Linked DNA regions of Arabidopsis thaliana. The protein of the gene in region 3 interacts with the protein of the main gene of each other region in a pairwise test. Each region holds a gene or a part of one and is shown on either strand. Other genes may lie near its edges.

What was found.
Region 1: the proteins of JAZ10 (region 3) and AIB interact in a two-hybrid assay, tested with the Arabidopsis thaliana proteins (one study listed by BioGRID).
Region 2: the proteins of JAZ10 (region 3) and JAZ4 interact in a two-hybrid assay, tested with the Arabidopsis thaliana proteins (one study listed by BioGRID).

The regions. Positions count from the first base shown.
Region 1 is NC_003071.7:19,089,197-19,096,841, forward strand, and holds AIB (ABA-inducible BHLH-type transcription factor), read right to left. Parts: upstream 4,178-7,645; 5' UTR 3,692-4,177; coding exon 1,991-3,691; 3' UTR 1,757-1,990; downstream 1-1,756. Other genes in the region: SDH4 (succinate dehydrogenase subunit 4), read right to left, coding at 817-1,272. UniProt on the Arabidopsis thaliana protein: Transcription activator. Positively regulates abscisic acid (ABA) response. Confers drought tolerance and sensitivity to ABA.
Region 2 is NC_003070.9:17,928,059-17,936,418, reverse strand, and holds JAZ4 (jasmonate-zim-domain protein 4), read right to left. Parts: upstream 5,030-8,360; 5' UTR 4,762-5,029; coding exon 4,686-4,761; intron 3,820-4,685; exon of another isoform or gene 3,440-3,819; coding exon 3,267-3,439; intron 3,146-3,266; coding exon 2,982-3,145; intron 2,888-2,981; coding exon 2,803-2,887; intron 2,601-2,802; coding exon 2,333-2,600; intron 2,232-2,332; coding exon 2,171-2,231; coding exon of another isoform or gene 2,164-2,170; exon of another isoform or gene 2,092-2,163; coding exon 1,986-2,091; 3' UTR 1,757-1,985; downstream 1-1,756. Other genes in the region: AT1G48510 (Surfeit locus 1 cytochrome c oxidase biogenesis protein), read right to left, coding at 81-367, 458-650, 893-1,122, 1,209-1,300, 1,386-1,530; AT1G48490 (Protein kinase superfamily protein), read left to right, coding at 7,822-8,360. UniProt on the Arabidopsis thaliana protein: Repressor of jasmonate responses. Interacts with and suppresses RHD6 and RSL1 transcription factor activities to negatively regulate jasmonate-stimulated root hair development.
Region 3 is NC_003076.8:4,215,061-4,222,522, forward strand, and holds JAZ10 (jasmonate-zim-domain protein 10), read left to right. Parts: upstream 1-3,767; 5' UTR 3,768-3,940; coding exon 3,941-4,052; intron 4,053-4,129; coding exon 4,130-4,624; coding exon of another isoform or gene 4,625-4,629; exon of another isoform or gene 4,630-4,874; coding exon 4,875-4,936; coding exon of another isoform or gene 4,937-4,979; 3' UTR 4,980-5,402; coding exon of another isoform or gene 5,403-5,442; 3' UTR 5,443-5,853; downstream 5,854-7,462. Other genes in the region: AT5G13210 (Uncharacterized conserved protein UCP015417, vWA), read left to right, coding at 1-1,528; AT5G13230 (Tetratricopeptide repeat (TPR)-like superfamily protein), read left to right, coding at 7,454-7,462. UniProt on the Arabidopsis thaliana protein: Repressor of jasmonate (JA) responses. Interacts with and suppresses RHD6 and RSL1 transcription factor activities to negatively regulate jasmonate-stimulated root hair development.

The sequences.
Region 1 (7,645 bases), on a different chromosome or scaffold from region 3:
TTGGGGTTTTAATCGTCATTATTTCACCGTTTTGGATTAGGATGCTTTTAAAACTTCGGATAAGGAGAGAGTTAGTATTTGAATCAATGAACCAGTACAATCGTAATTCGTATGGGCCTACAGATAAAAAGATGGGCCTTTTAATTCGCTTCTTTAACTCGTTTCATATCCCTTTGTTCTATTCAACCTTTCAGGCTTTCTGCTATGGAACATGAATATTGTTGGTCCAGTTGCATCTTAACCAGGTTCATGAACATCTAACTAAGATTCAATTTGATAGCTTTATATCTTCAAAATCTCATGTTTGATCTAAGTAAACATAACATCGACAATTCTCTGTTTGTGACTTCTTGAGAGTCTCCATCACCTTTATAATGATCACACCAAATCCAAAACCAGAAAATCTCTTCAAAAGTTGTATATAATCAAACCATCTACTTGGTAAAAACCACAACTTTTCTACTGCAAAACTCACGTAAGTCTCTCGTGCTTCTGATTACAGTAAAGCTAAATTCGAAATGCAAACGTAGTGATTAAATGATCCTCAAAGCTGAGAAAAGTTGTCATTATTCAATCAAAAGATTAACAGGCTTAGAATTCCATTTTAAGCCTTACAGAATCAAATACACGAAACCAGAAACTGAAACAACACACAACAAAAGCTTGAAGGTAAAAATGCAACATTGCATCAAGTTCTTATTCATAAAACAAAGAAGATAAAAGGAAAGACCTTTTTTTTAGCCCACACTATTCATTCATTAACAGGTGATGATGATCGAGAGTGTTCCTTAGATCCCAAAAGATGTTTACTTGGTTTCAGAGAAGAAACAAGATAATATCTTTAAGAACGATAATCTGGAACAATCCCAAAGACATCACAATCAAATTCCTTGTCATTTCTTGGTGAACATAATCCGCCAAAATCTCTTCCATTCCTTCATGTATGTGAAAGACTACAGGGATTTTGCGTAAGAAAGAGCCATTAGTGTAACCTCGAGAAGACGATTGACGCGAGAATTTGGCTGCCTTGTTGAGTTCAGATTGCCCAATTGAAGACGAAATCGAGCGATCGGTGACGAGATTGGTTGAATCTGGTTTCAGTTTCTGGGCTTGTGCGAAGGGGATTGAAGAGAGGTCTCTTCCCAGTGGGTTTCTCACGGCGGCGGTGGCGGATGCGGAGGAGATGTGACTCATCGAGAAAGGTAGAGACTTTGAGAGAGTGGCTCTCTGGGTTTGACGGTGGAGATCGAGGATAGTGCGGCGGAGAGACATCGTGGCCGAGGAGATAATCTGACGGAGAAGGATTGAAATTGGATCTGATCGGAGAAACAAACCCTATGTGAAATGAATCGGAAGCACAATTCTCGTCGTAGAGGTGAAGATGCATTAATGGAGTTGGGCTTTATACTGGGCTTTTCAGAACTACCAGAAGCCCAAACCAAAACCAAAATAGATTATTATGTGCTGCATTGCATAAAATAATGGACCAATGGAAAAAAAATAATTGATTCTCATTTTTAAGTAATTTTTAGCTCAGTCTCTTGAAATGTCAATATATCATATTCATGACCAATATATAAGATTTGGTCACTTCAAAATTCAAATGTACATGAACATTCTACAAGATAATTAATCAAATATTTACCTGAATAACATTGATTGGATAATATTAACTTGTTATAACTATTGCTTTATTTGAAAAAAAAAAAGAATGGATCCCAAATTGTAACTGAATAAAGCATCCATAACAAAGAAAGAGAAGTCAAATATCTTTCATACTTTATTTGATTTTCTAAAGTATAGGAAATATTTTCCCAAGATACAAATATGTGAATCAATGGTCTAAATAAAGTTAATGAATATACTTAAACCGGATTCCTTTCACTATAAGAAAGAGAAAAGAAAAAAGGATTTTATCTATTTCTAGTTGAACCTGAAAGTTATCTATACTGAAACAAGAATAGACAAAAGCTTCACCATCATGTGAAACTTATATATCACCAGAGACCTGTGAACTAGAAGAAGGCAATGGCGGTTGCGTCGAGCTGGTCTCGGGGTAAAACGCTGCTATAAGCTTCTCTTTCGTCAATGGATCCGACCCGTTGTTAGACTTTATCACAAAAGTGTGAAACATTGTGTCTTCAGCTAATGATAACTTAGCCTCCATTAGACTAACATTTGAGTTTCTCATTGCTTGTATGATTCTTGAAGCTGGATGTGAATCCAAAGGCGAGATTACTCTTACAACAACCTCTTCATTCATAGCTTGAATGTCAACTTCTGGACTTTCTTCTACTGTTATTGTGTTTGATTCTGATAAGCTCTTATCTGTTCCTACTCTTTCATCTTCCATTATCTTGACTTTCTCTTGAAGCTCTTTGATGTAAGAAATTGCGTCTCCAAGTAGAGAAGCCTTGTCCATTTTAGAAATGTTTGGAACAACTGATCGTAAAGCGTAGAATCTTTGGTTAAGCTTCTCGCGTCTCTGCCTCTCAGCTTCCACATGGTTCAATGGCTCTTCTCTTCCGTTTGCAGGCTTTCTCCCTCTCTTTCTCGGTCTCTTCTCATCAACAACAGAAACTATTCCTGCTCCTGCTAACAAGCTCACTGGTCTTTTCTCTGTACAAGATTCTGATTTTTCTTGCTGAGTGTTTGTAGATGGATTCGAAGAAGCAGCAACTGATGATCCCGCAAACTCAATCTGCGTCTTGTAATTGTTATTATCTACAACCATATTCACATTCTCTAGCACTTTCACATCATCCCTCTGAGGTGTGTAACCAAATGTTGGACCTTTATTGTTATTATAGCCTTCCCAACTTTGAGGAGTGAATCTCTCATCCAAGTTTCTTCTCACTTCGAGCTTCTTAGGATACGCGTGAGCTCCACTCAAATCCTGCCCGAAAAGCTTGTGAATCCCTCCAGTCATGTTAGTGTTTGAAGTCACCATTACTGGTTGCGTAACTCTCCTCATGAACAAAGCTTGAACAGACTTAACCAAGCCAATGTTTTCAGGCAAAGACCAAACAGAACCAAGCTCAAGAACACCAGCATCAGTAGGAACCATAACGATCGTTCTGATTCCCGCAGATTTCGCCATAAAAGACCTGAAACAATAGTCAGACTCAGAGTTAACTGCATCAGAGAGCCACACATGTTTCCCTGAAGAATAACACCTCCCAGGACCGCCTTCACCGTGATTGAAGAAGAAATACATGGAAGCTAAGAAGAAAATCTCAGTAGCAGTAACTTTCTCTAAGCTCAAAGCATAATTGTCTTCATCAGATCCACCAAACAACCTATGAAGCTTCTGCAACACTCTCTTCCTCATATCTTGCCATGTCTCTTCCTCTGCCCCCATGTTGTTAAAATTATAAGACCTAACAACTTTTGATTCCTCTTCCTCATTAGGCTCTCGACAACACCCATCTCCCCAACCTAAGACTTGTTGTCCGGATCTAGACATGGTTTGTTGCCAGAAAATAGCGTAGTTCCAGCTGAAATTCTCCGAGTTTGGCCAATCAACGAGACTAGAGAGCTTCTTATTCAGAGTATCATCAGTTCCCATAACAAGAAAGAGATTCTGATTCGAATTAGAGTTTGCTCGAAGAAAATCAGAAGCTAAATGCCCTAAAACAGCACTAACCACCGATTTATCTTCATCATCCCAACCTAAATCACTCATATTCATCTTTCTTTATCTCCCAGATTACACCAAATCCTACCAAACCCAAAACCACTTAAACGGAGAAGAAAACCAAACCTTTCTTCTACACAACTCAATGATTGACTCAACGATGCTTGAAACCATATAAACTCGAGTCTCTCCAGCTTCAAGATTCCAGTAATCAGATTCTAAGGAAGAAAAGGTCGGAGCTTTGAACAATTTGAAGAATACCCACCAGGAAAAAATGCAAACCCAGTGATGAATCACGCTCAAGAGAAGCTTGCGCCGGTGAAGAAATATCTCGCCGAAGAAAGATTCCAAAAAGCTTTGATTTTTACAGAGAAATTGAACAATTGAATGAGAGTTGCAACTAGAAAAGTCTGAAGGTTGAAGAAGAAGAAGAAGATACAGTTAGAGAGGGAGAGAGAGAGAGAAGGAGACAAGACTTGCTGGGGTAATTGAAGTTTGTATGAAAGCTCTTTTTAAAAACCCAACCATGGTTACTTATGCACGTTAATTACTTTGGTTATTCAACTTAACCATGGTTAATAATTACTCTGATTATTAACTCTGTTTCCTGATTTTAAGTTCACTTACTTTGATTGTTTCTCTCCGAATAAAGATAGAAAATCTAAAATCTCTTTTCAAATCTATTTTGCAAATGGATTATCTCACCCCTAAATCTGGCTAGTCTTTGAATTTGTCTCCAAATCCGATTAATTTCGTAAAAGTAATACATACTTGATGGTGATTTTAGTGAAACAACGATATTTGCACTTGGTAAATTTTAGAGAAAATAGTGTTTTGTGTACACACGTGTGTATGTACCTACGTGAGAGATTCAAATTATAGTAATGTACTTAAGAAGTATAGATCACATGGTCGAAATATTTTAAAATTTATTATGTACTAAATAGTACTAAATTAATTATTTGTTTTTATTTTTTTCTCTACCAATAAAAATAACTCACATGCATAAAGAAACAAAGAAATATTGTCTGAATTGTCTGGTGGGGTTTTGGTTATTTCAGACATCGTTATTAACGTGGGTCCATTTAATTAATAGTATAGTCTGAGTATATTATTCTTATCAATAGTATATATATAGTCCTTAACTTCGATATAAAAAATGGTACGTTCTTTCTTTATTTAGATTTTTATGGAAAGAAAATTATTTGTCGCATAGGATTTGCGTGAATCTCATGCCCAACAGTAACGTTCAACAAAAAGGGTCTCGTTCTGTGAGAGAGCACCATGTGATGGACTTTTAACCTACTTTTCTATCATCATGTGTTTGTAGTTTTCTAATTGTTTTCTCCCCATTAATTAAAAACTTTTTTTATAATTACATGATTATATTCATAACCTATTTTAAAGTATTATCGCATGAGATAAGCCTCACCATGTTTTGTATGGGGATATTTTCTTATAATAATTTAAAATGACATCATTAAAATTTGCATATAAATAAAGAAAGAGATTCGATAAACCTAATTCAAACTTAGGGATAGATAGTACAATGAAAACTCGTACATTGAAATGTATACGTTGATATACTAAAGCTTTGTAAAAAAACGTGATGATAATGTACAATATTGTGACGTGACATGCAAAATTTGACCTCTTGTTTTGTAGATTAGGATGATAACGCGATGATTGGTGTCTTTTGAGTAATTCGGAGTCGCACCAACTTATAAATTCTTTATCTTCTTAAGTTCTAATAGAACAAAAAAACTCATATCTCATATTTTAATTAGTACTAAAAACTATAACCTAATACTGAACGTGTTTTGCGTAGGCTTGTTTAATACTATTTTTTTTTGTCTATAATAATTAATACTCTTTCGTTAGAAGAGAATAGATTAGATACATTGCTTCAAAAAAAAGAAAAAAGAAGCTAATAATAGTTACAAAACAAAATTGGCTTTATCATTATGAATTTCACTTATTTATCTTTTTAAGATATGTAGAGAACCTAATTTAAATTTGAATTTGTAGATTGAATTTCGGTAATTTTATATAAAATAAAACAAAATAGTTTTAACAAAATTCAAACGAGTGTTATATATACATTAGTGAGATTATGCAACGAGAATAAAAAAACAATAACGGATAAGAGTAGGGCTCAATAATCGAATGGCAGAGAGCGAATGATAGGGAAAATGTGGGGTCAAGTGGAGACACTCGTGACTACGGTGGTCTTTATTGCAGACAATAACTTCTCCTGTCTCATATGCCTTTTGAAAACGTAAATTGCAAAAATGATTTGTCGTGTTTCACTTCTTTTGTCCTCGCAATTTCGCATTCTCTTTCTCTATTCTAACGAAAAACGCGTCTAACCATTTCGTAGATGAAAAGTTGTAGAAGATTTGAGCAGCTTATCAATTTCGCATTCTTTTTCTCAATTATAAACGCGTCTATCCATTTATAAGTTGAGAAGTGTAAAGGATATATAACTTGAATGATTATCAACAAAATGTAGGGAAAATAAGCCAAAAATAAAAACGAGTTAACAAAACCGACTCTATTGTGAATTCATAATATAGGTACTAAAATTTATATTGTATCACTATTTCTTATTAAAAAAAGTGTTACCGTTCATTTATATACCTCTATATTTTCTCGAAAACTATACTTTAAAAACTACATAGAAAAACATGCATAAAATCTTAAAACAAGTTTGTTTTTCTAAAACATATTTGTATAAAGGAACCGTGGGAGTATATATATGTTAATATGTACTATATATTTTGTCATTCAACGTATGTTTTCTTCGAAAGCTACCAATATGTGTAAAACTAATGTTGCAAAGTGGTGTTACTTGGGAAAATTCGGTTAGGAACAAAGGGGCTAAATAAGTCGCTTTGTTTACGCAACTCATCTTCTATTCTTCTTTATATATCACGCGTTTTTCGTGGGCTTCAATGGGCCACATGAGGTCGACATTTTTAACCTTTATATTCAAAAGTACGGCAAAAATACATCATGCGCCACGTGGCTTTCTTTGTTTATCATAATCTCACACGTCTCACGTGTGACAAATGCTAACGCTAACTTAACTAGTGGGTTTGGTTAGCCAAAATACCAAATGATACAATAAGAAAACAAGCTGAGTTACTTGGCAACAAAATTTAGTTCGAGGTGAGAAATTCATGTGCAATTGAATATTAGTATGACTCGTCTGGCTTTAACATCAAAATCAAGCACAAAACAGAAAAATACGTCATCAAAGCAATAACTATTTGACTAATTAAGAAACTCATTTTCTTGTTTGCAAACCCTTTTTTATATATTTGTAGTTTTGTAGACAAACGAACGTGATGCGTTTGGACCAGCGTCACAGACGTTGACGGCTTTGGGACACGTTTGAAGAAAGAATACGTCGACATTTCTTATTTCAGACTTGCTCTCTTTTTAGGTTCACTACACGAATTTTCACGTACACAACTTCACAACACGTTTTAGTTACGAGATTCTGTTTTTTTGTTCGATAATTTATTTTAGTAACACGTAAATAGATGATTTATATGGTTGGTATAATTATAAATGCACCGACAGACTTGAAACTAGAAATTCTACCGACAGAAATTCTTGCTCGGAAACCATAGACTACCTACCCTATTAATGTCAATGCTATTTGATTAAAAACAAAAGCATTAATTGATCTTAGAGTTATGGGTTTATATTTTATAGGAAAGAGTAAAAGCTCATTATATTTATGGGCTTATAGAAAAGAGCAATAGCCCATTTAACCGACTTACTCTATCGGGTATAACCAAAAACCCGATAACCCGGCTCGTTCATCGGGGAATTTTCCGTTTTCTAAAAGTAAATCTCTTTGAAATAAAAAAGCTTCTCCGTTTCCCTCTTTTGAAAAAATCAGAAACCCTAAAATCGCCACTCTCTCGTCTCTCTTCGCGGTCCATTCTGCTTCATCTCTCCCGGCGAAACCTTAATCGAACAGCTCGGATTCGATCC
Region 2 (8,360 bases), on a different chromosome or scaffold from region 3:
TCAGGCACACTACCATAAACAAACAAACAAAAACAACCAGTTACTAGTGCAATAAGTTCGATGTTATGTTTGTTAATTACCACAAAACTGTGTACAAGTGATAGTCCAGTGGTATATCCTTACTACGAGTCAAGTTCTCAACGTCTCTTGGAACTGGATAAGTTCTACTTTCATCCATATCTGTGTACGTACTCTCTATATACATTGTGTCCTCACCAAACCCCATGGCTAGAGCTAGTTTAGGAACGTCAAGGTAGAACCACGCAAGCGAACTTGGATAATTTACTAGAGTATATATGCCTGGAGTTTCACTTTTCCTAACTACACCCACCACTTCCACATGCATAGCCCTAGAGACTTGGTCCTGCTAAAAAATATTCCAATAACACTTAACTATGATATCAAATCATGCAATGAATGATTGAGTACTCATTAAGTTTATGAAATGAAGACCAACCTCAACAATCATTGGGTTGTTCAACTTGTACCAGAACTTCGACAAGAGACTTTGTTGAGAGGAGAGAAGTTTATTAGCTTTTCTTGACTCTTTTGCAGCAGCAACAAGACCACCAGTACCTAGAGATTCTAGAGAATTTTCTTTCCAATCCGAAGGAACCCATCCGCGATTTACTAGAATAGGGGACTTCATACTAGTGACAAAAGGAAGAAGAAAAAGATAGTTAGACCATGTTTGTTTGTTTGTTTGTTTTGGTGCATTTGTATGCAACCTTATTTGTAAGAGACACAAAATTTGCAAGTATTTGCATCTAGTCTAGATGTTGCATCCAAACACTTAAATATACAAGAAAAAAGATATTTGCATCAAGATGGTATATATGGAGATCAAAAAGACTTTAGTTTGGTTTGCGCATATAGAGAGTAAATCCCTGACCTATTAGGTTCATTAGGGATTGGCAAAAGAGGTGTAATGACATAAAAGCCAATTTCAGAACTTTTAGACATGGATCTAGGCTTTGGACCCACATAGATCGATCTTTGCTCATCGAAAATGCCTTTGCATACCACCCGTCGAAATCCTAACCCATCCAAATCTTTCGTTGTATTCAGCTTCATTGGTTTCATTTCCAAGCATTGTTTTCTAGAATCAAGATGTTCCTTGTACTTGAAACAAAAGAGTTTGAACAAATTCTTTAGCAGATCAAAGAACAACACGTATAATTAAAATGTATATAATGAAAATCACAGACCACTTGTGTTTGTAGGAACTTATACGTCTCACCGAGACCATAAGTAGTGAATCCAACTAAGTACCATAACAACGCTGACCCTCTTTTCTTCTCTGCAAAACATTTTTACACAAAGATTCAGAACCAAGATTCAGAACTTAATCACAAATTAGACGAGAGAGAGCATGTGCAAGATACTTGCGGGTGGTGGAGCTGAAGAAAGCAATTGGCTCTCAAGATTGGAAGTTTGTGAAGCAGCAGGGAGATTGCTAGTAGTAGAAGAAGACATGTACTGACTTTGAGAAATCAACCTCTTAAATATCTTGGAAACGAGTTTTGTCATCTTTTTCTCCTCCAGGATCTTCTCTTTGTCTCATCCAAGATTCTTGATCTACTATATATGGCGACGACGACGAGGACTGATTAAGTATATAAACTAATGTTTTATTTTCTGATATAGCACATGGCACCAACTAATTAAATGACTTTCATCTGCTGGTGGAAATATTTTATATCAATTATCGAAAAAAAAGTATAAACATAAAGTTGACTTCAACAAAATCTAGAAGAGCTTGAATAGTCTTACTTTTATGTTTTTTATACACATGCAAGAGTAAAGACAAAACATACAGTATCCAAATTAAATTTATAGGATATATATAAATAACTTGCTTTTACAAGCCCAGTGTACTAAAATCTGAATAAACAAAAGCTATAACAACTATACTATAGTCTATAGGATACAGAGCCAGAGAAAAAAGAAAAAGCCTTTAGAACAATGAGGGGTCTAAATTGGTTTTAGTGCAGATGATGAGCTGGAGGACAGCTTACACATTCAGACATCAGTGTTCTACAGTCTATTGATGACTTGTTGTCTACGTAATAAGGTGATACGTTAATGACCCTGCAAGAAAACGAAGCCAATATACAGCAAACCTGTGTTTTGATATTGTGAATAAGTGAATAATCTTGTAGCTCAGTACCTTTCTTTGCGTTTCTCTAAGAACCGAGCCAAGGATGCTTTGCGTGTTTGTGGTAAACCCACTGTATTAAATCATAGCAAGATTTTTTGGTTATAACAAACTAAACCTAAGATAGAAGTTTGATGACAAAACATTAATAGGAGTTAAGACTTCATTTATAACCTGTTGGAGCCATAGAGAAGGCAGCAGTTTGGTTGTTGCGCGTGGATGCTAAACTCGCCTTTGTTTTTGTTGGTCCAAGTCCAGTAACCCCGTTGGATCCACTACTTCTGGTTTCAGAGACAATGTAAGAGATGGAAGGCAGGAAACTAGGAGGCATAGTTGGAGGATCAGTGGTTGGAAGAGAGTGATGAACCAGTTTTTGAGGTTTAGGTTGTGAAACCGGTTTAGCATGAGGTCCATTTCCGGCTAGCAACATGATAGCTTGGGCCTATGAATACAAAATAAATGAAGAAGTAAGGACAAAGATTTATCATATCTATGAATCATTAACATACTGTATGTTGAAACCAGGTTAGTAACTTTCTATAACTTCAGCATGTCTATACGTGAAACTTATTTCTTTGATTGAATACTTAGTCAGTGGATAGCTTGGACTGTAATGTAACACATATTGAAGGAAATTTGGTTACCTTTTCAGGAGCTATGTCTTGGTAAACTAATACTGAACCGGCATAAAAGATTGTCAACTGAGGGGGAAGTGGTTTTGAAGAAGATCTGGAGATGAACATAAAGGAGCTCGAGTCAACTATAGAAGTAAAGAGGTTCTGTATCTGATGTTAAACAGAAGAAGATAGAATGCAGTGCATGCCTAATAGTGGTTGGAGCAGGAAATACTGAAACTGGAGGTGCCATGATAGGAGATCCTCCTAAATGTTGGTGGTTTATGAAACTGTTGATGTAGTTTGGTTCGGACATGGAGACTGTGATGGTTGTTTGGTCTTGCTGACTGGAACCTGGGAACACTCTGTCTTCCTGAGATCATTTTGTATCAATTTTGAGACCAGAAGAAACTAAACCAATTGCCAAGCTTTCTTACAAGGTCACTAAATCACACTTTATCACTACTTTTTTTCTTTTCAAGAAATAGCCTAACCTGTAGTGAGCTGAAGTAAGTTCTCTGGTTTTGATCCATTGCAGCAGAAGAAAGCAAATGATCATTGACTGTGTTTACACGCGTTTCTTGTTGGGATGTCCCAAAAGAAAGAAACTGAGGACCAGAACCGACTTTGCTTGAGAATGACCAATCCATCATACCTCTACTTGGGGCTGAAACATGAGCAAATGTCTTTAGATTTTATCAAACTAGGAAACACTCAGATCTAGCTATGCTAAAGTGGACGACTCTTAACATTAGATTCATCAACAATGAACAAATCTGCATAAAGCCAAACACACTGGGGAAAATAGTGATCATACAAATACTTTCAAGAAATGGCACGTTTCGGAATATAAAAAGACAAGAACTAACTATTAAATTCCTCGTGGGTAAGTAAATTATTCATCCAAATTGTAACTTGATCTAAATTTAATACCCAACATGATCCTAACTTAATCAATGAGTCTACTTGGATAGAAATAAAACTTAATCAAGTCACAATCAATCTTGCTTTTATATAATTCAACTTGCATTTGTTGTTAAATCTCTAATCGTCAGCCGGTCGCTATATAACGCATTCTTTTCCCAACATTTCACGTCTTCGTTTTTAAATAATACTGATAGAATTCAAGTTGCTTAATAAACCTTAAAAAATGGCATAAACTTTTCAAAAAGAATAACCAGCCAATGTTCTAATTCTCAATATTCAATCCGGCTTTGAAAAAAACAATCTTTTCTAAAGAAGATACTATTGTATTGAAACCAATTGATCAATTTTGTAAGCAACAAAAAAAATATAGCATTTTTGTTCTGTCGGTGTCGGCTGTTTGAAGAAAAAAACGAAATTATTTTGAAAACACTCAACATTACCAACAGCTTTAGAAACATGCATCACCTAGTCACCTAGAAAATCAAGTTTGTTCTCTGAATATTATTTTTCAAAGATAATACTAACACTTGTTAAATTACTAACGTCAACAAGTTTGGTGTTTGCTTGTATAGTTGTATACTTGTACATTTGTAGTTTGCAAAAAATATTTAATGAAAAAAACTTCAAAAGTAGATCGTGAACGTATGAATTTTCTAACTATCGAGTCCCAAAACGTGTTTTTTCATCGGCTACGTCAAACAAATTCGAGTAGCTAAATTTCTGTCTATAGTACTAAAACCTAATTTCTTAAATATATATCAAGAAAAAAGAAACCCTAATTTATTTTTTCTCTTCCCGAGAAAACGAAGAAAAAATTTCTTGTTCAAGAAAAAACCAGACAGTAGGACTCCCAATCAAGCTAGAAAAACAATATATATGTACTTGAACAATAAACAAAAAAAGAGATTACAAAAATAGAAACAAAAAAAAGTGAGATGAAAAACACAATCATCAGATCATAATGGAAGATGTTGAAGATGAATTACCTGAATCTTCGTTAGTTTCCTCCTTCACAGTTATCGGAGATAACTTTGATCCCAGCCCGAGAAAATCTCTCTCCATCAGGCTTATCAATCGTTGAGAATACAAAAACGGTTTAGCTTTCGCGGGGGAGAAAAAAAATGTCACCGGAGAAGAGAAGAAATGAGAGATCAGAGAGAATTAGTAACAATTGAAGGACTTTGGAGAGAAATGAAAAACGTGAGTTGAAGTTACACACACCGCCGATTTATGATTCCTCTAATGATGTATACATATATTTTTTTAATATAAATCATCCGATGCGGTATGTGTATATCCCACGTCTGCTTTCCTGTTCCGGAATAAACTTCCAATATTAGAAATTCAATCATCGGATATAAATATATATATTTATTTTTATTTTGAACAACTTGGATATAAATATATAAATATATAAATATGTCGTTAATATCAAACTTAAAATAATGTTTTACATTATTTATTTTTATATTTAAAGCTGATAAGCATTATAATAAGAACCCTTATTCTCAAGTTAAAAGAGAGCAATTATTTGTAGTGCATTGAGTCATTGACTCATTCATTCTACACAACAAAACATGGTAATAATGTGGTTGAGAAGAGCTTTCACCGTCGTCTCGATCCCTCTTCATACAAAGTTTGAATTCTTGCTTTGGGTCATGCAGTGCCTCATTATTGATTTATCTTTGATTAATGTTTTTTTTAGATAAGAATTAACCTATAGATCGTAGCCATCCCGGATGAATGGCCTTCTTTTTTATAGAGATTGATGGTTTTTCTCGTTTAAAGTTTTTTTTGGTATGCTCATGTCCTTGTTAAAAAGGCTAGATTTCATTTGTTAAAATCTAGCATTTATGCTTCGTATTGGTTCTCCCATACGGAGAACTTCCTCTTTTACTGTTGTTAGATTTCGTTTGTTAATATATCAAAGTATTTTTGTTTTTGGATAAACCCTAAGAGTTCCTAAGAAAGAGGTTATTTTCGGAACTGTAAGAGTTAATAGTCATGAGGTTAAATTACAAGTACATGTACACTGCTGAGCTCCCATGTTCATACCAAGTTCGAGTGTATGGAGCTTACCCTTGGCATTATGAATTTATGAGCAAGCTGCAAAACTTGCCACATAGAACCAGAGCCAGACCAAAAAAATATAAGGCTCCATACGAATTATGGAAAAAACAATTCTTCTTGAGATTATATAAGTCATTACCATATAATATTTTTAAAATTAAAAATTAAAGTTTATAAATATATTCTAATAAGCTGATTTTATATAGGTTCCAGATTTTAAAAAGAAAAAACATAACAAAAAGAGAACGTTGAACACAAGTTTTAGCAAAGTTGTCGATAGAGGGACACAATGAGATATGGTTCCCATACGTTACTCCAAAGTATCCCTTTTTACTTGGTTGGTTGTGAAAAACAGAATTTGAGTAGAGAGACAATGAGAAAGTGGTATGTAATGTAGATTCGAGTTGCATTTTTTGCAATGAACAGGTAGAGAGACGAAGGAACACTTATTTTTCCACTGCGCCTACTCAAAAAAGATATGGGAAGACTTAACAAGGGGAATTCTCTCGGACAGATATTCGGCGAGTTGGACAGAGGTTATGAAAACTTTATCTAAAAACCTTCTATACAAAACGAAGAGCTACATACTTAGGTATGCACTACAGACAGAACTCTATACACTCAATTTGGAATGAACAAAATAGGAGGAGGCATCAGGCATGGGGAGCAATCATCACCGACGGAAATACTTGTGAAGATTATAGACAAGAATCTTAGAAACCGTTTGAGCACAATTCAAGGTAGTGGAGGATTGAAGTTCAAAGATGGCATCCAAGTTTGGTTTAAAACTTTGAATCAAGGCAATAGATAATAGACAATTAGAAGTTCCTTTTCTTTAAAAAAACTCTCAAAACAATTAGCATTTCATATGTAACAAGTTTATTTTTCTTTTTAATATAATTTAACATTAAATTCAAAAAGAAAAAGTTTTAACATATTTTTATTATAAAAATCTGAATTAATTTAGTAAGAAATAAATAAAAATACTTGTTATTCGAAAAATCTGAATTAGTTTAATTAGAAGTAAATAATTACAAAAATTATCTATTAGGTCCATATCAAATAATTTATATAGATATTATCTTCTAACATTAAATATAACTATAACTATTCAAATTTGTATCTAACAATTATTACTTTAGTGGGTGCAAATATATCAAATTCCAGCAGTGTTGAAAATTTGTTAGATTTCTTTATTCATATATAAATAATAATATGCCCAAAAGTTTCTAATATTAATTAAAGCTAAATTTTCGAAAGAAAAAAAAATGTTATTTGACTGCAACGATAATGAAAAATTAAAAATTAGTTGGATTGATTAACTCAATTATAAACAAAAATACGACCGAAATATCTTTTATTAATCAAAAATTCAAAACTATAACTTTTGTACATACATAATAAATTATTACACGATTTAGTATGAACATATAAAATCACAACGATAATTAAAATTAGTTAGATTTATTAATTTAAATATTTAAAATTACGCGCGAAAGGCGAAAGCTTCTATATAATATCAAAAAATTCAAAACTATGTAATTTCTTTCTATTTTTCTCCAAAAATTTAAAACTCTTCAAGTCACAATAAATTCATTTATGATAAAATCTTCAAGAAATTATATTCATAGTCTTATCTTTTTTGTTTTCTTCATTCATAGTCTTATCTACTTTACTCATTTATGCATATAAAATAAGAAAATGCAGTCCTTAGTACTTAATCTTCAGTTTGAAAGTCATTAACGTTTAATCATAGTCAAGTTTCGTCTTTAACAGGTTTGACTATTTGTTTCCCTAATCTTCTTCGTTTTAGGCTTTAATAAAAGATTAGTGTCCCACTTAACAGTTACGTCCGTCGTCTTCTTCGTCCATTCATCGAAAGCTTGGTTTTGAATTTTCTTAAGTTTTTGAAATCGTAACGGAGATTGAAGGTAAGAGACATAGCGAGAAGAGATTTTGCTTTTGAATTGGATATGGCGTTTTGGAATTTTGCCGTAACGTGTTTGTTGTGGTAAGGTTTGAGGTTTGGAAATCTCTCGAGAGAAGTCAAATATGGTGTTCAAGAGCAAACTCTTCTTCTCCTCGAAGAAATCGAGATCTTCTAGTCCCAGTAGCAGCAACAGTCCACGATCTGTTGGCTCCGATTCTCCGATTCGATCCGATAAGAAGAAACCGAAATCAAATTCTAAAGAGGAAACTCGGAGCCCTAATACGAAGAAGCATGTCTCAGCGAAGGGTAAAGAAGCTTCGTTAGAAGTTCACTCTTCTAGTCCAGGCAAATCAAACTCGTCATCTTCTGGTTCCGAGGCGAAGAAACCAATTACTGAAACGCCGGCGACTTCTGACGTGAAGGAGGAATCGCCGGCGTCGGTTTCGCCTATCATGGCTTCATCTTTGGGTTTGAATAGAATCAAGACGAGGTCTGGCCCGTTGCCGCAGGAAAGTTTTTTCAGTTTTGAGAATGATTATGCAATTCCGGTCTTACCGTGTTACAAGTTGTCGAAGTTGGATACTGGCAAGAAGGAAGCTGGAAGCAGCAAGGTAGATATTGGACCGCTAAGAAGCAGCAATCCCGCGTTGCTGGCTTCGGG
Region 3 (7,462 bases):
TGAAATCCGGAAGATCCAGAAATCAGAAAGGTTCAAGAGGAAAAGTGAAGCTCTAGATAGAAGAGCTCCTTATGATGGTCATTGTTATCATGGTCGTCTTTATGGTGGTCGTGGACGTGGATCTAGTCGCCCCAGTAGTAAAAGGAAGCCAGTGGCGACGAGGGCGTTGAGAGTAGCCAACGCTGAGAGGAAGAATCAAGCCGAGAAAGCCAGAGCAAGCTTGGATCGGAAGAAAAAGAAGGTTTCGATGGGGAAGGACGCGTTTACAAGATATTCTTGCGATCCAGACTATAGATATCTCCACGAACGCGTCTCTGATCTATTCGCAAATCAGCTAAAGAAAGATCTTGAGTTTTTGACATCGGACAAACCAAACGAAATCTCTCTTGCTGCTAAATGGTGTCCATCGCTTGACTCTTCGTTTGACAAAGCAACTCTTCTCTGCGAGAGCATTGCTAGGAAGATCTTTACTCGAGAATCATTCCCTGAATACGAAGGCGTTGTAGAAGCTCACTATGCATACAGAGTTCGTGATCGGCTAAGGAAAGATGTTCTTGTTCCTCTGCGTAAAACTCTGCAACTGCCTGAAGTATATATGGGAGCGAGAAACTGGGATATTCTTCCGTACAACCGTGTAGCATCAGTGGCGATGAAGTCGTACAAGGAGATATTCTTGAAGCACGACGCAGAGAGGTTTCAGCAATATCTTGACGATGCAAAGGCGGGGAAAACCAAGGTAGCTGCTGGTGCTGTGTTGCCTCATGAGATAATCAGAGAGTTAGACGGTGGAGACGGTGGACAAGTAGCAGAGCTGCAATGGAAGAGAACGGTAGATGATATGAAAGAGAAAGGTTCTTTGAGGAATTGTATAGCTGTCTGTGACGTTTCAGGGTCTATGAATGGTGAACCAATGGAGGTTTGTGTGGCTTTGGGTCTGCTAGTCTCTGAGCTATCTGAAGAGCCATGGAAAGGAAAGCTAATAACTTTCAGCCAAAATCCGGAGTTGCATTTGGTGAAAGGAGACGATCTGTACTCAAAAACAGAGTTTGTTAAAAAAATGCAATGGGGTATGAACACTGATTTTCAGAAAGTGTTTGATTTGATTCTTGGAGTGGCCGTACAAGAGAAGCTGAAGCCGGAAGAGATGATCAAGAGGGTGTTTGTGTTCAGTGATATGGAGTTTGATCAAGCGGCGTCGTCGTCACATTATTCAAGACCAGGCTATGCATTTTTAAGGCAGCCTCCAAGTAATCCAAGTAATGGATGGGAAACGGATTATGAAGTGATTGTGAGGAAGTATAAACAGAATGGGTATGGAGACGTTGTGCCGGAGATAGTGTTTTGGAACTTGAGGGATTCGAGAGCAACGCCGGTGCCGGGAAACAAGAAAGGAGTGGCTTTGGTGAGTGGCTTTTCGAAGAATTTGATGAAAATGTTTTTGGAACATGATGGAGAGATTGATCCTGTGATGATGATGGAGACTGCTATTTCTAAAGATGAGTATAAGTCGCTTGTTGTTGTTGATTAAGAAGCTTTACTGTTTTTTTGAGTTTGGTTTTGTATTCCTGTTTCATGGTTGAAGCTTCCATTGCAATTTTATTTTAATAAATTTGGCCCATTGATTTTACTTTTTTTTTCTGAACCAAGTAATCGATACGAGACCACTAACCTGGCTTTTATTCATCAATCGATGCTCTCTCTACACGTAACCTGCTTCAAAACACTCATAGTTCGCCGGAAACAATCACTCGTATCATCGGATCTCGGCGTTTAGAATTCAGAATCCGACGACTTTGGCGAGCAAACCTTACGCAAACTATGGATGGTATTGGAAATGAACGACAACAAGAACAACCGTTTCATTTACAGATTTACTTCTTCAAATGGGCTTTTCTTCTCTAAATGGGTTTACTACCTTAAGGGGCTTTTCAACTATAGGTTCAATTATATTCTTATGTAAGGGTACTAACTAGTGTGGGCTGTAAACGACTTAAAGTTTCGGCCATTTAGTTTTATGCAAGAAAAAAAATATAGATAATACAGTAATGATGAATCCACTATACATGTTAAATCCAATATAATAAATCCACTATACATTAGTGTTCTCATATTTCGTTTCAAGATTCGATTCAAAAAATTTGAAAATGTTAAATATGTGTTTCTGAGATTAAAGGCCAAAAGAAGGGTAAGGTCGTATATGAAAGGTGGACAGAGGGGCAAATTAGTCAGCTTGAAAAATACATCGACATTAAAAATCGGCAGCACTGACAAAACGTGTGATAACACAAATAAAAATAATCGGAAGAAAAAGAATAAATAAGGCGTATTGACTCTGGAACGTGAGAAGATGAAAGAGAGCGACGAAAACCTCTAAAGACTTATCGAGAAGTGCACCTTAGCCTAGTGAATAATGATATGTATTGACATTAACTACTACTACTACAGCTCCCAACACGTGAAAGACATGCATCTAACTCTTTCACTTTCGGTTGCCAAGAAAAAAAAAAAAAAAAAACTTTCACTTTCGGCATCAAATATATACTACTAAAAAAGTTTTTTATACGTAATTCTTTTTTAATATTTGATTAGTTCAGAATATTAATTAAAAAAATTACTTTTCGTAATCACTACATTTTGTAGTTATATGATTTTTAATTTAAAATAGTAAAAAGGAGAAATGTAACTAATTAAGCTAACATGCGCGCGATAGAATAAGGTGAAGTTTAAATTTGAGCACAAGATAGAAAATTGAGGTCAATTTAATTCGGAAGTGGTTCAAGGTATATTTTCACAAGAAAGAAAAACGTGAGTTCATTGAATCCCTCTATAACTTTACTTGAGAACAATGTAATAATATGTAAATCTGTTAGGAAACGAGCAGCCACATATGCTTTAAACAAGAGAACAAGAAAAAGAGCGGCCACATGTGAAAAAAAAACACCAGCCAAAATGTGAAACTAAGAAAAGAAAAGAAAAACCATCGACATCGTCCAAAGGATCGACCCGTCTTTTCTGGTTTGGCAGAAAACAAACTTCCAAGTTCCGACTTGACCTAGTCTTTATGCATCTGCAGTGGTGTTTTCTTTAAATCTTTTTTTGAATGGATTTGAAAATCTTATTTTTTCTTCTTCTTTCAAAACACTAACTGTGAATCACCACCAACATTTTATTGTTCTAAAATCCCTATTTGTATGTTTTATTGGTTACTTTCCCAAATATGATGAAAGTTTATTGGTGTACTTTAGTTTAGAAATGTAAGAAATTTCAGTTGTATTATTAGGTCAACCAAATATTATTCTTGAATAGTAATGTCAAATTTTGTTTATATTGAAAAATCAATAAGACTGATATCTACTAAATGTGATTTGCTATACTAGTAGAGCTAGTAGTAGCAAGATTAAAATTCATATTAAGAAAAAATGGAAAAGAAAAACATGTTTCGAGAAAAATATACAGATCAGAGACTAGAGTAGAAAACAAATATAATGTCAGAAGAACCCAATGTGACGAACAGTAACAGAAACATGTTACCAAATTTTTGAAGATATATTTTTATAAAACATTACAATGTTCATTGGACTTCCGTTATTTCCGGATATAAAATATCTTCTTTCTGCGTAGCAAGCAATTACATTACATTAGGTATATTAAGAATTTAAACATGTGTTTTGAATCATTAAATTAATTAGATAAGTAAGAGAAGAGGTTGGGAGCCTAATAAAAACAAAACAAAAAGGAAAAAGTGGATAGGTTGCCAATTGTGCCGAAAAGAAAGAGAAAGCATGAACCTCGTGCGTTAAATAAGTATCAGAGACATACTACATTTTAAAAACTCTCACATGAGAAATCAGAATCCGTTATTATTCCTCCATTTATTCATCTCAAAACCCATATCTCTCTGTCTTGATCTCTCTCTCACTTTCTAATAAGATCAAAGAAGATGTCGAAAGCTACCATAGAACTCGATTTCCTCGGACTTGAGAAGAAACAAACCAACAACGCTCCTAAGCCTAAGTTCCAGAAATTTCTCGATCGCCGTCGTAGTTTCCGAGGTTCGTTTGGTTTTTAGTCGCTCTCTCTTTTTTTTTTCTTGCGATAAATCGAATTTATTCATATGGAACTCCTGCAGATATTCAAGGTGCGATTTCGAAAATCGATCCGGAGATTATCAAATCGCTGTTAGCTTCCACTGGAAACAATTCCGATTCATCGGCTAAATCTCGTTCGGTTCCGTCTACTCCGAGGGAAGATCAGCCTCAGATCCCGATTTCTCCGGTCCACGCGTCTCTCGCCAGGTATTTTTGTCTTTCCGGTAAAGTTTTTTTTTTCTTTCTAACTTTTTTGGCGCTACCAGAAAAGACGAAAAAATTTGAAATTCAAATTTTCAAAACATTCATTTTCCTCAGGTCTAGTACCGAACTCGTTTCGGGAACTGTTCCTATGACGATTTTCTACAATGGAAGTGTTTCAGTTTTCCAAGTGTCTCGTAACAAAGCTGGTGAAATTATGAAGGTCGCTAATGAAGCAGCATCTAAGAAAGACGAGTCGTCGATGGAGACAGATCTTTCGGTAATTCTTCCGACCACTCTAAGACCAAAGCTCTTTGGCCAGAATCTAGAAGGAGGTTAGTATAATAAAAATAAAAATCACTTAGTGCTGGATTCTTCTAGAATTTTAGTTACATATTATTGCATGTAGAGATCTAAGAAGAGTTTGTTGTTAGAGAGGAATTGGTTGCTAATTAGTTTGGAATTAGATATCAAAGAGTTAAAGACTATAGTTTATGTCTATACGTATTAATATACGTTATTAATAAAAGTATAAACATGTTGTTTAATTTCTGATAAGAAACTGGTTTATGCGTGTGTATGCAGATCTTCCCATCGCAAGGAGAAAGTCACTGCAACGTTTTCTCGAGAAGCGCAAGGAGAGGTAATGATTCTTCAACAATCCAAGGATTTTTACCCCCAAATAATTAAAGAAAGGTTTTTATTTTTCTCTCTCTCGACCTTTTTTTTACTATAAGTTATTTAAGATAGTAATTATGGGTCCTGCCTCTTTTACTCTCACATACAACTTAAGATTCAACTAGTTTTGTTCAACAACGCACATGCTTATACGTAGATAGATAATGGAGATCAGTAGTAATATCGGTATACGTAGGTTACTATTGTAATGGAACTTTTAAAAAGCGCGTTGACTTTGAGTCTTTGACTCTAGTTCTGTTTGCTACACCGACAAGTTATATTTTTCAAAATGATGAGAAAACGAGGAGAAACACCGGAAAAAAATTTGAACTTTTACTTTTATCAGACCATACGGCCAAAGAAAGATCTGTATATTATATAAGTTATCACAAAACGCGGTTTCACATTTTCTTTTTCGTCTTGTTGTGTTTGCAGATTAGTATCAACATCTCCTTACTATCCGACATCGGCCTAAACGATCTCTTTTTAGATTGGGACATGGACCAAATTTGTCTTTTTCAATCGGAAGACATCCATGTTCGTTTTTGGATTTGGCTTATTTCCAATCTTCTTTTGAAGCCTTCTTCGTCGTTGCTAAATCGTATACTATTCACGACAAACGTTTTTAGGAGATTACGTTACCTACTAAGATTATATATATTGGTTTGTTTTTAAAAATGTCTATTATCTTTATTGTCATTGATAGCTTGATTTAAGAAGCTCTCTCTTATCCCGTGACCTTCTACTTTTGTTTTATTTTTTAGTATATGGTAAAGAAAATTATAACACGCCTCTTTTAGCTTCTCATGAAGCTTCCGTATCAGAGTATTATTAAAGGAAATGTGGCCATTCATCTTTGATTATATTGGTTGGTCTCTAGCTTGGGTTGTCCTAATTGTTATAATGGAAAACAGTTTAAGAAACACGTGAGTATTAGTTATATAATACTATCAAGTCTACCCGACTAATTGTGTCTTTATGTCAAAAGTCTTTTAACATGAGTTTGGTGGAATTTGTACATTGGAATGAAGATGAAAAGAAGTGGTAAAGTGAACGTACTTTGTGTGGCTTCTTTTAGACAATTACCCCTTTCATTGAATAGTATCCATCACTAGTACTAACAAAAAAGGGATGGCTGGTCCGGATTTAAGAAACAAAAACCACACAACCATTCACTGCGTCTTCTTTATCATTGAAACCAAGATACTGTAGCTTATTGATATGAAATAAATACCACCATGTGCATACGTGAGAGTTTTTTTATTACATGTAGTTTCTTAAAAATGTTTTCGTGTCTCTTTAAGTTGTGTCAAGTAAATTGCTTCTCATTTAATCTACTGCGATGACATAAACTTAGTTTGCACATTGCAATGGCTAATGAGAGTACTAAACTTACATCATGTTGTTTAAGCTTTGAAGATGGAATACCGTATATCAAGTTTTAATTAGTAGCTCTGATTCAGATGTTTGGTTTAGATTCAGATTCAGATTAGTCAAGTGTTTGGCTTTGGTCAAGTTGACTGCATAAGCCAATCCTAATATCTTTGATTCATCACGAGTAATTCAAATTAATTATTTGATTCGATTTGGTCCAACACCAACAGTTTATCCTGTTCGTCTGGAAAAAATCTAATATATCAACCAGCTATTTACATAGCATTCGGCCAAATCATTCCAATAGAATGAAACATCCTATATCAATCAACAGATCGAGAAAATGAATGTCCAAAAACAAAACCTGTACTAACTGATTCACATCAGTTTGGAAACAAACTTAAGAAACAGGAATACTTAATTTGAGGAAAATCCTTGTAAATTTGATTATAAAAAAAATTACTTGCTAGATGGCAATACAATCTGCGGAACTGAGAGATTTCATAACCCAAAAAAAAAGGAAATTGCATAATTTAAAATTCACCATTATCAGTTTTGAGCAAACAAAACAGAAGTTAGAAAAGAGATTGACGAATCGGGACATCAGTTTTAAAAAGCTCGATTTATATAATCCGCATGAGTTATAGGAAAGCACCGTTGTAGTGCAAAATATTCATCATCTGCTCCGATTCGTTCAATCAATTTTTTCAGTTGAAATTAAGATTCAGAAAAACAAGAGGAAAACTAAACACCAACTTCAAAACAAATTCTAGCAATCCTAGCTTAGAAATTCAGATCTTAAACATGGAATAACAAATAACGAAGAGTATTGAGAAGGAGAGCTAACGAAACGAATCTGAGTCTGTTGGGTCATCACAGCTACAGCCCTCTTTTATAGGGTGAAGCCTTTAGACTCAGAGAAACCCTAGTTTTGAATTTGGTTATCGAATCTGGGCCACATGGGTCACACTATTACACATTATTGGGCCGGCCCATATCTCTTTAAATTTGGTTTATCCAGAATCATTCGATCTCAGTTGGGAAAAACCGGTTTTGAATAAACCGGATTGGACACTACTCCACTACTTGTCTCCACTCTGCTCGTAATCCGCATGATCGTG